4 linked regions of the Nothobranchius furzeri genome follow. The protein of the gene in region 1 purifies or fractionates together with the protein of each later gene. This does not show direct contact. Links are inferred from orthologs where the notes say so. Each region holds a gene or a part of one and is shown in the gene's direction. Other genes may lie near its edges. The genes, in order: slc38a9, lamtor5, lamtor1 and lamtor2.

Evidence for each region.
Region 2: the proteins of slc38a9 (region 1) and lamtor5 purify together in Homo sapiens (co-immunoprecipitation; 5 studies listed by BioGRID and IntAct, with this or other methods). This does not show direct contact. The link is inferred for Nothobranchius furzeri from reciprocal best matches to the Homo sapiens genes SLC38A9 and LAMTOR5.
Region 3: the proteins of slc38a9 (region 1) and lamtor1 purify together in Homo sapiens (co-immunoprecipitation; 5 studies listed by BioGRID and IntAct, with this or other methods). This does not show direct contact. The link is inferred for Nothobranchius furzeri from reciprocal best matches to the Homo sapiens genes SLC38A9 and LAMTOR1.
Region 4: the proteins of slc38a9 (region 1) and lamtor2 purify together in Homo sapiens (co-immunoprecipitation; 5 studies listed by BioGRID and IntAct, with this or other methods). This does not show direct contact. The link is inferred for Nothobranchius furzeri from reciprocal best matches to the Homo sapiens genes SLC38A9 and LAMTOR2.

What each region holds. Positions count from the first base shown.
Region 1 is NC_091746.1:36,518,355-36,522,558, reverse strand, and holds the start of slc38a9 (neutral amino acid transporter 9), read left to right. Parts: upstream 1-1,393; 5' UTR 1,394-1,528; intron 1,529-3,360; 5' UTR 3,361-3,399; coding exon 3,400-3,497; intron 3,498-4,204.
Region 2 is NC_091755.1:27,982,265-27,986,457, forward strand, and holds the start of lamtor5 (ragulator complex protein LAMTOR5), read left to right. Parts: upstream 1-1,333; 5' UTR 1,334-1,440; coding exon 1,441-1,475; intron 1,476-1,555; coding exon 1,556-1,617; intron 1,618-3,157; coding exon 3,158-3,275; intron 3,276-4,193. UniProt on the Homo sapiens protein: As part of the Ragulator complex it is involved in amino acid sensing and activation of mTORC1, a signaling complex promoting cell growth in response to growth factors, energy levels, and amino acids.
Region 3 is NC_091753.1:34,140,004-34,144,121, forward strand, and holds the start of lamtor1 (ragulator complex protein LAMTOR1), read left to right. Parts: upstream 1-1,257; 5' UTR 1,258-1,434; coding exon 1,435-1,476; intron 1,477-3,014; coding exon 3,015-3,160; intron 3,161-3,427; coding exon 3,428-3,505; intron 3,506-3,946; coding exon 3,947-4,070; intron 4,071-4,118. UniProt on the Homo sapiens protein: Key component of the Ragulator complex, a multiprotein complex involved in amino acid sensing and activation of mTORC1, a signaling complex promoting cell growth in response to growth factors, energy levels, and amino acids.
Region 4 is NC_091745.1:61,225,358-61,229,257, reverse strand, and holds lamtor2 (ragulator complex protein LAMTOR2), read left to right. Parts: upstream 1-1,193; 5' UTR 1,194-1,410; coding exon 1,411-1,478; intron 1,479-1,940; coding exon 1,941-2,103; intron 2,104-2,188; coding exon 2,189-2,278; intron 2,279-2,840; coding exon 2,841-2,897; 3' UTR 2,898-3,339; downstream 3,340-3,900. UniProt on the Homo sapiens protein: As part of the Ragulator complex it is involved in amino acid sensing and activation of mTORC1, a signaling complex promoting cell growth in response to growth factors, energy levels, and amino acids.

The sequences.
Region 1 (4,204 bases):
GAGCAAGCCTCTGATTGGTGGGTAGAATCAGCCCACATGGGCTTAAGACAAGGATGTGTGGAATCAACCGGGCCAGGCTAGGGCCGACTGGGGCTACCCGGCCCGGGCCGACCCGGTACAGATGGGAATGGCCCATTAGGCTCCCTATATATGAATATAGTCTGGCCACGACACATTGACGGCTCTCAGTCATGGGGCACGATCTACAGTTATCTTTCAGACTGTCTGTGCATCAACGGGGCAGTGCATCATACACTGTCACAAAAGACGCATATAAATATTTTTTCTAAACAAAGGACTGAAGTACCTTTATCTGCTCTTAACTTGGAGAAAAGCCCAAGTCTAATAGTCTAAAGTTGATGCCAAAGTTATAAATGAGCTGTCACCATCTTAGATTCACTCAATTGCATTAATCCCAACCACCAAACCGATAGAATACTAAGATTGGGCTACCAAACTGATGGAGCGCTGTGATTGGCCAGCCACCAGACTGACCCTGAACTGAAGAGGTTCCCATAGGGCAATAGGTGGCCAGCGGGCGGGCCCCCTCTTTGTGGCCCCCAATCCCCATGCGTTTTTAGCCCCATTGACTTGCATTCATTTTTTCGTTCTTCAGGGGACCCATGGTTCAGAAGAAGATGGGCGTGACTTAGGCTCCCTATGGTGCTAAAAGTGCTATTTTCTAATTCCGCATGTGCCATGGATTTTCACATATGATGTCCGTGAATTTTAAAGATGCATTTTGATGCCAAGAAAGCTTATTTTTGAACAGGGGAAATGTTATTTTAGGTTTTGTGTGAAAATACGTCCAGGACTACAAGTGAAAATCACGAAAGTGACGTCATCAAACCAGACAGAAAAACTGAGAGTAAATGGCTGTAAGTTCAACAAACTTCAAATCCTTCTTCAGGAAACACCATCAGTCTGGCCATGTGGTAAGTAGCAGTATGCTAGGGGAGACGAGATTTTGTGGTGACGTCATATATGCAAATTTAGTCATGCTAACAAAAAACTTTTACGAGCTGATAAATCTCAATGTACGTGACTGGTGTGGTCAAAACACACATCATTACTTTTAATTTAAATGTAAGTGCAGCATATGTGATCCAGGGTCTAAGGCAAAGCGGATTGGAAAATAGCATCGACATAAATATACGTATATTTATGTCGATGCTGTTTTAGTCCTACCAAGCCCCCACAATGCGGGTTTCTCATTCAAATAAGTTTACTGTAAAACATAAGTAGAAGAGAAGAGATCTCCAACTAAGGTATCTGGGCGGAGTCTGCTTAAATACGGATTAGTTATCCATGTTACGGTATTGTACCTTTCTACAGGTTAATAAATTATCCATGGTTTAAAAAAAAACTTGCGTTGTGCAATATATGATGCACGGACTTGCCATACATTAATGGAACAACTGACGTCATTCAGCACTAGCATGACTAACAAGTTGATAGGGACAGCCACACAGACATGTCTGTGGAGCGCAGACACAGCGCTACGTAGAGGTTATCCTCTCGCTCTCAGGTTAGTAACAGTTCTACTCTCCATCTTTTATTGAGTTTTAACACGGCGTGCTGCAGTTTAGGTCCCGGGTTCTTTTCGAAACGTTGACGGGGACGAAAGGAATCTACACTTACGTGTAATATTTCCCGGATGTTCACGCTCTATTTGGACTAATGTTCCACGAGCCTTAGTGGAACGGTTCCGCCATTTCCATGTTGTAATATGTTGACAGCTTTGGGTCAGGTTTAGTGTGTTTGTTTAAGGTAGGAAAGTAGACGGTAGTTTGTGTTACTGGATGCGCGCGCATCCACCGGAACAGAACAACTGAAAAAATACACATTTGGTCGTTTGGAAATGATTAAGTCAAAAGAAGGAGTTATTGATTGATATTTAGATGAATCTGATTCAGACAGGATTGGACTGTGGTTTAATGAGAATCAATGGGTCAAAGTCTCAACAGAACAACAGCATTACTGCATACAGTTGGTCTCAGCAGATCTATCTGGACTTTAGATGTAATCTTCAGTTAGAGAAACCACGAGGTTGTGATGCATGCTGGGACAAGACCAGACCCTTCACCTGTACATCAAAAGGTTCTGCATCTCCTGTCACACCAGCTGGGAGGCTGCTGCGGGTCATTTATGAGCAGATCTAACCACTTCGTCTTCATGTCAGCCTCAGACCATTTCCCAGACCAAGCTGCGACAGATGTCAGCAGCATGCTCCCCACCACACACCAGTAAAAAGAAATGAACCCAGCAGCACTGAGACCAGTTCATGTCTGCTCAATCAATGGTTTTACTTAACACTGTGAAAATGGACCTAGGATAGTTGGATTGACTCGGTTTATTTGGACAGGGAATGCTGGAAAACTTCACATCTGCCAGTTTTTACACAACAAAAATTAAAGGAACCACAAGAACTAATTAAATCATTAGCTGTCAGATGATTAATCATGATCTGACAGCAGCTAGAAGCTCCAGATGGGGACCGTAGAGTCTGAAATGCCTTTAAAACAAAAAACTTAAACCACTCTGAAACCAGATTTAATTATAATCAAAGTGAAACACACTTGAAGTCCAATGCTGGTCGACCACCACCAGTTGGGTCTTCATTACTCATGAAAGCACCCACACCCCCTTGGACAATATTGAAATTAAAGACTCAGAGCAGCCACCCTCTAACTACTGTCCTTCTTGTTGATGTCCGTGAACTTTCTGGGACAAATAATCCATCAGTTTAAAAGAAAATAAATTCAGTGTTTTTTTTTTCCTTTCACAACAACTGTAGCTTAGATAAAATTTAACAATCAGTCAGCACACAGAATAACTAAATATCATCCGAACCTCTGGATGGTTCTGCTTTTGTCTGACAGCATAGGTTTAGTAACATGCATGTTCTTCCTTTTAGAACTTCCTCCTTTGAAAAGGCCTGACTCATGGATTTCAGGTCGGTCGTATAGTGTGAACTACCTCATTCAAGTGATGAGGCAACCATTTTTTTTAGACTGTCAGCTAAACGTGTGTCTTAAAATTGAAGCTCTTGTAACTACAGAGGAGGTAAAAAATGGAAAAGCAGGATAATTTGACACTGAGCCGAAGGGAGCGTCAGCAGCAGGCAGCTCAGACCAAACCAAACAGGAATGAAAGAGACACCGTAGTTCAGCCTTTTCACAAAAATATTTTCCTCTGTTCCCTGTACACACATGCTGACTCATGGACATGTAGCTCATACTAACCACTATTTAAGGAACATTGTTATTACACAGAGGTTGGATTGATGTCTTTATGCCCGTTTCAGCACACAGCTGAGTTGTGTTTGTTTGTTATATGACTGACTGCATGCTCTTTCAGACAGGGAATGTGAGTCTTTAGTTGACGTCTGAGGTGATCATGGAGGATGAGGGCAGACCTCTGCTGAGCTCCCAGTACACCGGAGAGACCTACTCCAACCGAGGATCCACCGACTCCCTGGACTGCAAAGTCAAACGGTAGATGCCCATGAAACACTGCAATGGTCAGACTGGAGGCTGGGATCTCTGAGGTGCTTCGACCGGTTCAGTGGGCCTGACGTTATTGGTGATAAACACCTGGTCAGGTCAAACTGAATTCAGTCAGTCTTTTCAGAAACTTGTGTCTTTAGACCTAATATTCCCAGTAGGCCAAGTTGGACAGGGAGCCATGTTAGTCACATCACAGAGGTCTGCTCTGCTGAAGGACACTTCCTCAGCTGCTGGACCACAGCCAGAACAAAGTGACACAAATGGAGGAGATGACCTGTATTTATGTAGCACCTTCTAAGCACCCCAAGGCGCGCGCACACACACACACACACACACACACACACACACACACACACACACACACACACACACACACACACACACACACACACACACACACACACACACACACACACACACACACACACACACACACACACACACACACACACACACTGGAGATGGTGAGCTACACTGTAGCCACAGCTGCCCTGAGGCACATTGACAGAAGCGAGGCTGCTATACACAGATGCCATCGGTCCCTCCAACCACCTCCAGGAAAGCTTTAGTGAAGCTGAATGTAAAGGTTTAACCTAAACAATGGAAGAAAATAGTTCATGCTGGTATTAGTTTCATTTAAAGATGTTGGTTTGTCAACTGCAAGATAACATCAACGCCTTATGGGCTCGACACAC
Region 2 (4,193 bases), on another chromosome or scaffold:
ATAAAGTAAACAATAAGATAAGAGATATAAAATATATAGAGGCTGGTATGTGCAAAACAGTGGCATTAATGTACAGTATGGAATGTGTAATGTTGGAGTTTCAGTAGTGAGGGTGAGGTGTCTGTGAAGTGTTCAGCAGTCTGATGGCCTGATGGAAAAAGCTGTCTCTCAGTCTGCTGGTTCTGGACCGGATGCTGCAGAACCTCCTTCCTGATGGAAGTAGTCTGAACAGTTTATGGCTGGGGTGACTTGAGTCCTTGATGATCCTCCCCGTTTTCCTCAGGCACCGCTTCTTATAGATGTCCTGGAGGGAGGGAAGCTCACCTCCAATAATCCTTTCTGCACACCGCACTACTCTCTGGAGAGCTTTGCGGTTGTAAGCGGTGCTGTTGCCATACCAGGTGGAGATGCATCCAGTGAGGATGCTCTCAATGGCACAGCAATAGAAGGTCCTGAGGATACGGTGGCTCATGCCAAATCTTTTCAGTCTTCTGAGAAAGAAGAGGCGCTGCTGTGCCTTCTTCACTGTATTTTCCGTGTGCACTGACCACGTAAGATCCTCTGCCAGGTGAACTCCAAGGAAACGGAAACTGCTCACCCTCTCCACAGCGTCGCCGTTGATGGTGATGGGGGGGTGTATTCCTCTGCTTCCTCTGCTCCTCCGGAAGTCCACTATCATCTCCTTTGTCTTTGTGACGTTGAGGGTGAGACTGTTGTCCTGACACCAGTGGGTCAGGGCGCTGATCTCCTCCCTGTAGGCCGTCTCATCGTGATTGGTGATGAGACCTATCACTGTGGTGTCGTTCGCATACTTCACAATGATGTTGGAGTTTCTCGTGGCCGTGCAGTCGTAGGTGTAGAGTGAGTACAGGAGAGGGCTCAGCACACACCCCTGCGGTGCACCAGTGTTCAGTGTGACGGGGGATGAGGTGGTGCCGCCCATAACATTATTATTATTATTATTATTATTGGAAAATTTAATAAAACTTGAAGGAAAATGCTAATTCTTTCTATCTATCTATCTATCTATCTATCTATCTATCTATCTATCTATCTATCTATCAATCTATCAATCTATCTATCTATCTATCTATCTATCATCTATCTATCTATCTATCTATCTATCTATCTATCTATCTATCTATCTATCTATCTATCTATCTATCTATCTATCTATCTATCTATCTATCTATCTATCTATCTATCTATCTATCAATCATCTATCTATCTATCTATGCCTATTTTGTTTATGTAATGTAAATGGAAAGATTTTGCGTTCTCTCTCTCTCTCTCTCTCTCTCTCTCTCTCTCTTTCTCTTTCGCGTCACACTTTTTGGTCCTCGTTGTGACTCGTAGCGCACGTGACGGTCAGCTGACTCTAACCGGAAACGTCGATGAAACTGTAAACAATTAAACCTTCTCTCTTTTCGTTTGTTAACGATGGAGTCGACTCTTGAACAGCATCTCGATGACACGTACGTTAAAAATCTCACTCTAACTGCTGACGTACTTCACTTTTTGTTTCATTAAAGCCTTTCTCCTTGTTTTTTTGTAGCATGAAGAATCCAGCAGTTGTCGGTGTGCTCTGCACAGATCACCAAGGACACAACCTGGGCTGTAAGATTAATTTAAAAAAGATTTACAGCAAAATGTATGAAACATATTCGGTTTAGTTAGCTTTTACAAGGCTACGTCAGTGTCGTGTTCTTTTTTTTTTGAATAATGAAATAACTTAGTTGCAGCAAAAGCTATTAATGTAACACACAAATAATATTATTTCCTTCAGTTTAGCTATTTTCATCTGTAAAGGTTGAAATACATACTACAGTATAGTTGAAGTTACTGTGAATCATACATTTCAACCATTAAAATCTCAACTTATTTCACATGCCAGAAAATCTTCACAGTGTTTGCACTGTTAGCATAATGAGATTAGCATTTCTGATGGAATGAGCTCTTCTGGCTGTTTAACAGGTCAACAGGAAGCTGCTGTAATTAAATTTAATCACAAAGGCTAATGAGGTATAATTAAAATTAAAATGTAATGTTTTTATAATTCTCTAAACACAACCAATCCAAAATGATGCTTATAATTGTTTATTGTTGATTATTACTCATAAACTAATAAATACTAAATGCTTAATAACCACGCAGTTAGTTAGTGAGGTCATTTATGAACATTATTCACATACAACAATTACTGTCATTGGGAAAGTGAATACTCCGTGGAATTGATTCTGTGTTACTTGTTTGGCTTCCATGGTTTAGTTTGAACTTTGATCTCTTCTACAATTCATCAAACTTCAGGGAGATGAACATGCTCTAAATTTTACTTAGGCTGTGAATTCAGAACATATCCAGTCCATTTTCATCAGCTGTGCAATGAAACACAAAGCAGAACAACTGATGATAATATAAAGTAATTATTTTACTTCCCAGAGGACTCCTGCAGCAGCTGACAGGTATCATGTGGTCTGAAGAATCACAGCTTGACGGTTGCTGGAGCATAGAACTTGCTGGAGGGGCTGTCTGCCCTCTAGCTGTCTTGATGGAGATGGAGAGTCACTGAGATCAGAGAAATCTGAGCTTCGCTCCTGGACCTGTTAGCAACCCAGACTTTGATAATTGGAAGAAAAATGATGGATATATCAGTATATATATTTTTTCTGTTCGGTTTAATTAATATTTATAACAGAGGCATCCAGCAAAGTCTAAGCTCTTTGTTAGCGTCCTCATACTTTTATTATCTTTTTAGGTCTTGTTGAAAGTTATTTTGAAAAGGTTATGATGTAACTGTTGGAAGTGGGTAAACATGAGTATTGTTTTGTGTAGTCAGTAGCAATGTTTCCCTGGTACATGGACAAACCTAAATGAAATAGTCAAAAGATGCAGAAGACAGAAACCAAACAATGAGTTCAACATGATTCAGATCCTCGAGAGACCCCAGAATTCAGAAATCCTCAGTCTGGACTAAATAACAGCAGTGGGACAGAAATGTTTGTAATATGTTAACAATCCTTCATAAGGAGGTCATTGTTGTATACAGGTTTGGAATTAACACAAATCACAGAAAATGACTGTTTGAAAGATGCACTGATTTCCTTTTTTTAAGACATTTAAATAATTCATTGCGTGTTTCTTTTCTTTTTTCTTTTAGGTCGTGGCTCCTTGTCTGATGAACATGGTGGTGTTGTGTCTGTTTTGTCCAAACAAGCTATGGCGCTCACCAGAGACCCAACAGTCACCCCGACCGTGTGCCTGGAGTCTGAGTCAGGGTGAGAGCACTGACCGGGTTTTAGCTTGACTTGTAATTCTTTTTAAAAATCTATCTCGGGGTATTTAAGATGTACCTTTGGGGGTTCTGATTAATGTGTACGGAGATCAATTACTCTAAAAAAAGCTTTTTGAGAGAGATCAGAACCAGAGACTCAGGGTTCTGAATCTGATCCAGTGGTTCACTGTCTCCCAGCAGCTATTAGCATCCGGGTCCGAGCCTTCATCGCGGTTGCTAAAACCAGTACGCTTATCTGGTTCCTCCAGTTTCTATTTACTTACCAAAGGCAATGCCATTTGTGACTTTGAACTGAACATGCTCGGTTCTTGGCATTAGATTCCAGAATGTTGTTCATTTCTTTCCCAAAAGGCAGCTGAGATATTTTCTTGAGACTCCAAGCCCTTTTTAATTTCCCCTAATAACCTCGTAGACATTTAAATAACCCCATCATCATTAAAAACGGGTCCAAAGTTGAACTACAGAATAAAAAATTAAAAAGCCAATGTCCTCTTTAGTGGACGGAGGCTCCATGGAGGATGGAGAGGGAGGAAGTCAACCAACTGTGGGATTTTATTTATGTCGTTGTGCTGCCATCTTCTGGTAAATGAACATCTCGTCTTTCAGAACATTTTACCAACCCAATGACAGCTCCTGAATATTTATTTATTTAAAATTACTGCTGCGAACTTTCAATCTCAGATATAATTTGTTATCTCAAAAGTCTAAATAACATAAATACAAATACAAACGGTTTTGAGTCCGATTCAAGGCTTATTTTAGCTTTTACATCAGTTATATTCAAACAGTATTTTTAGGTTGTGATTGATCATCTCCACAGCCAGAACTCAGTGTTCCATGAACCACTGGGCCATCGGGACCCCAACTTTTGGAACCACTGCTTTAATTATGTTTGAAACCA
Region 3 (4,118 bases), on another chromosome or scaffold:
ACACTGTTTTTATTATGCACTCAGTCAAAGGCATCTGAGACCCTTTCATCTTTCTCAGAGAAGCTGCCACTTGTTCACCAACATGCCTCATCCTGTTTCTGTCTCTTGTTCATCCTGCACAGCAAGCTTGGGAAAAGTTTTGATCAAACACTTGATGTTTTTAGATTGACAAAAAGGAAAGAGGCAATCTCATTATCTTACACAATAATCAGTTATTTAACATGGATACCCTTCTCTAAAACAACATTTTAAAGCTAAAAAACAGTTATTCTTGAACTTTAGTGGCACATTTCCCATCTGAAACAGCTGCTGGCATGAGAGAAAAAGGAGATGCAACAACTCCCATGAAGGTTGTAAATGTTAAAACTGCATCCACATAAAAGGAAGGAGCAAAGGTTCCCAGTAGAACAGTACCTGTGCTGACTTGCTTTATTTTCTAACTCTGTCCAACTTACACAAACCAATGTCCTATAAAAAAAAATCAGATTCCCATTTGCCCTTGGTCTGGGTTTGAGTCTCTGCCTATAGATGCCTGCATGGATAATCTGGTTTAACAAAAGGATGGATGAACATTTTGTGGACCGTTGAGACAAAAGTGAAACGTTTTGTAAGATTTGTGACTCATCTTGTGGGAAACTAACAGTGAGTTTCAGAAAAAGATCATCATACAAACGGTACCTGGCCCATGGAGAATGTCTGAACTTTTAATTTAAACATGCCAAAAACATTTAAAATGAATTGTAGACTTAAACTTCTCCACACCAATGTGAGAGACTTATGTGCAGTTATTGGAAATGCTTGCATGCTCTTGATGTCTCACAAAGTTTTACAACTATAATTTTAGGGAGTAATTTTTCCCCTGGACTGATTTGGATATAGACTTTTTCCCATCATTTGAAAACAGACTTTTATTTACTTGGGTTATTTTCTCCCCGTATTTATTTATTTTTTGCTAACATGAAACATTTAACTGTGGCAAAAACGCAAAATGCTGTATTCTGCTTGTATTTCATTTGTTCTCTTATTTTGTAAATGAACTTTGTTCAATAAAGTTATTGAAAAAAGCAAATCCTGTTTTGGGAGCCCCTATGACTGGAACATTTATGCTTTTTTTAATTATCAGTCACCATTTTTAGTTCTGCCGAGGTTTCTGATAAGAACGTTCAACATTTCTGCCCTCACGTGTCCTGGGACGTCGCTGCTTCTCAAATACCGGAAGTAGTTGTTGTGTTGTTGTTGCACCACAGCTGCTGTCATGTGATAGCCTCACTCAGAAGCTGCTGTGGACAGTAGATTCCTACTTTTGTATGGGGCCGTAGTAACAACAGTAAGAAACAAACAAAGCTTTATGTTTGCAGGGGAAGAAGAGCTCTGCTCGTTTCTGAAGGAGCGCAGGGAAGCCGGGGTAGTTTAGTTTCAGCCTTGGACGTTGCCATGGGTTGCTGTTACAGTGGCGAGGACGACAACTCCAGGGAGGTAGGTAGCTAGCTAGCTGGCGGCTAAAGCTAAAACAGTTAACTTCATTCGTTTATTCAAACACTAAATAAGTTCTGCTGGCTAGGTGTCTTGACAGTGTTTAGTGAATGAGCCATTTCATGTTCACACATAACTCGTTTGTTGTCCGTAACATTAAACAGGAAGCGTCAGCTTGCTAAGGCCTGGGCTAAAGGCAGCCCTTTGAGTTAGCGCAGGTCAGAAACAGTTCAGAATAAACTGTCCTGAGGGCAAAAATCAAGTGTTTAGTAAAGCTGCGAGCACATCATTTTCTGCTATTGTCCTGTTTAGTGGGGCATGAGGATTTATAGCCTCCCAAAGGTCCTGCTAATCAGGAATAGACTGATTTCTTCTCTACTTATTGGCTAAATAATCAATTGTGACCCGTGTGTCAAGGAGCTAAATAACTGAACATCATGTGGATGTGCGTGGTGTCATATGGCTGCTGTAAATATCCCAGTTTTATTTTAGTTTAGGGAAATAAACCAGTTTGTCTTCATCCTTCCTCATAATCAGTTTCTCTTTAAGTAGATTAATACATTTCATCTTAGGGTTAGGGTACAACCTGGGTACAACCAGTCTATTTAACCTATGTTAGTCTGAAAATATACATTTTTCTTTACAGTTTCAGATAAATGTAAATTTTAAGGCAGAATGACTTTGATATATTTAAGATTGTATATAATCAGCTCTCTGTTTCTGAACAAAGGAAAATTAAAGGTCTGGAACACTGAAAAACCTTTTAATGATCATTTCTGATTATAACTGACCACTCTTGAGTTTTTTATTCAGGCAGAACATGAACATAGTCTCCTACACCTATCTCCAGCATTAGCTTCTGATAGAAGACAGACGATGAAACGCTAGGATTAGAAAATCCTGACAGATTTACGTCACACTGTCACTTAACATTCATGGACTCACCCATCATGACTCACAGGGAAGGCTGTTGTTGGTCTATCATCCAGGAAACAACAGTGTGTCTCGGCTAGTAGAAGCTAACCATTACTATTAGCATTAGCAACTCTACCACATGGCAGAACTCTATCAGGCTTGTGTTATCTGAGACAAGGTTTCCAAATATCAGGACGTAAGAGTATAGCTCCTGTCATTTGAAGTTCTCCTCTAATGTGACAATATTCTAGTTCCTGAAACAGGTGCACTGGAGCTTTTTTTCCTCCAGAGTACAACTTGCAAGGCATTCATTCCTATTAGACACCACTGTAAATCTACTTATTAAATGAGTGTCCCCCACCTTTATACATTTCTGTCATTGTTTATAACATGTAATCGTAAAGAAGTTGGACGGACATTTGTATAATGCATGAAAGTTGTTTTAAACAAACTTTGATTAATTCTTCTTCTACATATATTTTGTGTAACGTTTACTCCTTCTCCCCAGAAAACATATCTAATAACTAATCGTTTAATCTCATAGTCTCTTGTTTGTTTTATTAAACGTATAATTTGCTAAAACTACCTGATCACATTATTTCTATTTTATTCCAACTCTGCTCTAGAAGAACAGTGAAACGGAGTCACTAATACCCCATCCGAACCCTGTCAACAAACCTCCAAATGGGACCGACTGGATCACTCCCAGTGTTCCCTCTGCACAGGCAACTGAGCAGGCTATCCTTACATCCATCCTCACGAAGGCCGCACAGTAAGACGCTTCCACTGATGAGTCTAAACACAACATATTTACCATCCAAAGAAACTTTATCAATGACTTTTAGATCATGTGAAATAACATTTGTGTAATTGAACTAGAAGGTATTAGTCATGCACCTCCAGGTTACTAGTGCAGCACTACACGGATGTTGGGACTATAACCGATGATGTGTGACTGCATCGTACTACAGCATCCGTTAAGAGTGTTGGAATAGAGAATAATCATAATATAACTAACGTTGTTTTTCTTGTCTTCCAGGAATATCATTGATGTCTCTGCAACGGAATCAGTGGTTATGGAGCAGCGTGAATACATGGACAAAGCTAGACAATACAGGCATGTAGACGAGTAGATGTTTGTTATAGACTGATACTTTATTTTTGATGGGAGGTTCTACTTTTATTCTTCTGGAACTAGTTGACCTGAAAGAGTTGTTGATGAGACTGAATCTGAAGTTTATTTGGGCTTTAATTAAAAATGTTTTATTAAAGTCATTCAGGAAATGAACAACGTAAAACTGTCTTTTTGGAGGCCATACAGCTGGGGAAGAAGAAAACTGCTGACATGAAATAAGGAATTTCAACACCAGACCTCAAAATTACAATAAGGCCGGCCTTGCCTCCTCCTTTTTAGTGACCTCTAGTGGGCATCTAATTATATTGCATCTAAAAACGTACTTGTGAATAAACAGCCGTTCAGTTCATGGAAAACATTTGTTTTTGAGTCATTTTAACTCAAATTAATTGCAAGTTTGTTTTTGATTGGGTTTTTTTATAGTTCAAAGTTGGCTGTGTTGAGCACCAACCTGCCCCCAAAGAAAGCAGACACTCTTCCCTCTCTAACTAGCCAGCCCCACCAAGTTCTTGCAAGTGACCTGGTGCCATATTCAGATGTTCAGCAGGTAAATCACACACAGATCACATTCTTAACATGATGAAATCTTTAGCAC
Region 4 (3,900 bases), on another chromosome or scaffold:
GCGCGGTGTGTTGAAGCTGTTATCATCAGCTGATCAGGAGCTAAAGAGGTAGATGTTTTCATCCAAGTGCGTCACGGCCCGTGAAGAACGAGGAACACGTGATGAATATCTACGGCTGCAGGTGCGGGTCTGCAGCCGTGCCCTTCTTAGCGTGACAGCGGGACGTCCCGAAGGTCCGCTCAGACGTCCTGATCTTCTACCTTCCTAGATCATCCAGCTGTAACCTGTTTCTGATCATGTCTTTAGTCCCGCTGTAACACTGATGCATCAGTCTCAGACGTCATGGAGCTCAGGTGTTATCAGAACTGTGTGTGTTCACCACCCAGCTTCAGCTCTTCTGTGGTTGGGTCTGACCCAAGTTAGTAAATGTAAGTCCTCCATCAGATCTGTGCCTCTTCTAGTGTCATTTTAAAGGATATTTATTTATTTATTTAACCGTTACTAGATTAGCAGCAACAGAAATGCTGCTAAAAACACACAATTATGTGAAGCTGGAAAAATTAGAATACTGTGCAAAATTACATTTATTTCTGTAATTTAACTAGACTGAGAGACCATTTAAAGGCTCGGGAACCTTTACAGGTGTTTCTATTTGCAATTTTAAATTTTAGCTGATTGGGGTCTTGTTAAATATCACACAGTGACCTTTTAATAGTCTAGATTAGTGTAATGTTCCTATTAGTAGTTCCTCCTGTTAAGTGCATATTTGTTTAAATTATTCAGGTTTATATAAAACATTTGGACATACATTTTATTATGTTCAGTCATTAGTCATTTATATTTTACTATTGTAGTAATTCTTGCATTCTTTAATGAAAAAAGTAACTAAGTAGTTACTTTTGTTGGTAATTAGTTACTTTTATGATCTTGTAACTCAGTTAGTAACTGAGTTACTTTTTTGACAAAGTAATCAGTAACTATAACTAATTACTTTTTTAAAGTAACGTTCCCAACACTGCTTATTATTACAATCATGTCTTCATATACAATACATGATATCCACAAGCACGTGAGGATGTGTTTCAGCTGCTAACAGGCACCAGAATTAAAATTGAAAATTAAACAAGTAACTCTAACGCGATATCTTCAGCCATCCTACACATGCAGGAAATTGTGTCCGACCTAAACGCCGGCTTTCAGCCACTCCCCCTGCTGCTTCCGTCTGCTCTCGTCTGTTTTCCAGGCGAGGCCATCAACTCGAGCACGGCCAATGAAAATCCTTTTTAGTTACGACCGCGAGACAACATTTCCCAAAGTGCAATGCGAAGGAAGCCGGAAATGCGGAAAGACAAGTCAGCTGACTGCCTGGACGCATTGCTCTTCACGTACATCAACATACTATCAAAATACTTCGTGTTTTTTTCTTATTATTATTAAAACCGTTTTTATTCTTTGGTGAGGTCGACAGCGATGTTGCGACCCAAAGCTCTGACGCAGGTCCTCAGCCAAGCGAACACAAACGGAGTCCAGAGCACTCTGTAAGTACGAGTTAGCGACAAGCTAACGAGATGCTAAGATGCTATTTACTCTGACTCTTAGCTGCTTATCGTTTTTTGTACAAGGAAAGCTCGCCCAAAGAAAAATAAGCGTTGTTTTTTGGGAACTCTTAATGCTTAAAAGACATAATTTTAGTTATTTGAATGTAAAACTTGCGCATTTAATGATTTTTATCGTAGCTGTTTTTATAATGTCACAGATTAGAACGCTGTTGCAACAGATCCTAACAAATACCTCGGTTTATAATGATCAATTTCAATGAGATGATTTATAAAATATTTCTAATTTACACATTAGTGTCTAAAATAGTCAACCTTTCTAAATGTTAATTGTATGATGAGGCATTAGCTGCACCATCTAAACATACATCAAGATTATTTCTAACAACACAGATAACTTATGAGTAGGCTGTCTTAGTATGTGTCACGTGTTTATCCTCTCAGCTTGCTGAATAATGAAGGTTCCCTCCTGGCTTACTCTGGTTATGGAGATACCGATGCACGCGTAACAGCTGCCATCGCCAGCAACATCTGGGCAGCTTACGACAAGAATGGCCACCAAGCCTTCAACGAAGACAAGCTTACCTTCATCCTCATGGACTGTATGGTGAGAAACACAGCTCCGATTCAGGCTAAAACATTAGGCTGACCTCAAATTGTAACCTTCTTCTGTGTATTTGTTTTTTTTTAAGGAGGGAAGAGTGGCCATCACTCGTGTAGCCAACCTGCTGCTGTGCATATATGCCAAAGAGACTGTGGGATTCGGGATGCTGAAAGCCAAGGTGAGAGTTCGGGGCCTTTTCTTCTAATTGTTTCCCACGTTTTGCTTTTTATTGGTAAAGATTTTATGTGTTGGAGCTCTTCTGTCAATTGAGTTTAAAGCATTATTTTACAACAGTTGTTTGGATGGCAAAGAAAACTGCTTTTAACTTTGCTTTTAACCCTTTCAACACTTTCTATTGACATATTCTGTTCACATATATTAAACGTAAGTCTTAACTAAAACGTTTTATACTTAAAGGGCTAAAATGTAAGGGCAGATCATTAAATAAACCATTGAATGTGCAAATCATTTGAAACTAATCATTTAAACACAGATTAAACCACTTTTAGTATTTCTGAGGAATGTGCTGAGTGGTTCTAGACTTCTGTTCCACTGTTTAAAACAGGAAGTCCTTTAGAGTGACCCAGGGAGGCACGTGGATGAGGTTCATCAGGTTTGTCCAGCTAGAGCAGCTCATGGAGAACCCAGCTAAATCTGAACTGAGGCTGAAGTTTCTGATCAGTTTAAAGGTCGTACCAGATTTAATCTTTTCCAGTAATTGTGCTTTATTGTGTTTGTAGGCAGAGGCTCTGGTTCAGTATCTGGAGGAACCGTTGACTCAAGTGGCCGCATCGTAGTGAAGATCCGACCAACGCTTCTGTTGGTCTGAACTGAAGAAGAAATCAGCTGTTCAGGTCATCGGTGGACTGCTGTAACCCTCCTGTCCAACACTAAGTGTACAAAGGGCCATGTCTCTAAATGGAGGGGTGTGTGTGTGTGTGTGTGTGTGTGTGTGTGTGTGTGTGTGTGTGTGTGTGTGTGTGTGTGTGTGTGTGTGTGTGTGTGTGTGTGTGTGTGTACAGCTGAAATGTGATTCCATTTTCAGTTTTCACTTGGAATCGGTCCATTCGGTCATAGTTTTGTTGTTCAATGTGAAACTGAACATTTTTAGGAGTCACAGATGTACATCATGATAAAAACGTGTGTGGAGATTTTATATGAATCTTTCTGAAAAATGCAGTTGAGATTGTTATTTACTTGTGTTTTATGTCAAGGTTGTTTGATAAATGAGAGATACTGGCTCAGAGTCACCCATTCTTTTAAATCCTGCTTTGAGCTGGTGACGGTTGGGTGTGTTTCACCCTCGTATACACCTCTGAACGTTTTTAAACAATTTTAAATATGCAGTATCAGGTGAGATAAACTTAAATTTGCTCTGAAAATCTTGTGAAAGGGAGAATTTGCGGGTTTAGAGAAGCTTACCTTGCTTGTCTTTGAGTTTCATCACCAGATAATTTTATTTCTTTCAGTAATCACAGATTTCACAAAAATCTGATGAAACTTTTCACTCTTTCAGTATCCAATACTTTAAAAACAAAACCTTTTTTAATAAGTCAGAAGATCTGGGTAACTTAAAAGCTAAGAAAACTCACGAGTGCATGTGCATTCTGTTTAACTCCATTTAATCAACTAATGAGTTTTAATTGATACCAGTTAGTGATTTTCTCTTGAGGCATTAGCATCAAATATACTTTCTCACCTGCAGCCAGATAAAGAAAGTCTCAGCTTTCAAAATAAAAATTTTAATCACCCAAACCTGGAGTTAAATGCCTATACAGTTTTGCAATAATCAAGTTGATT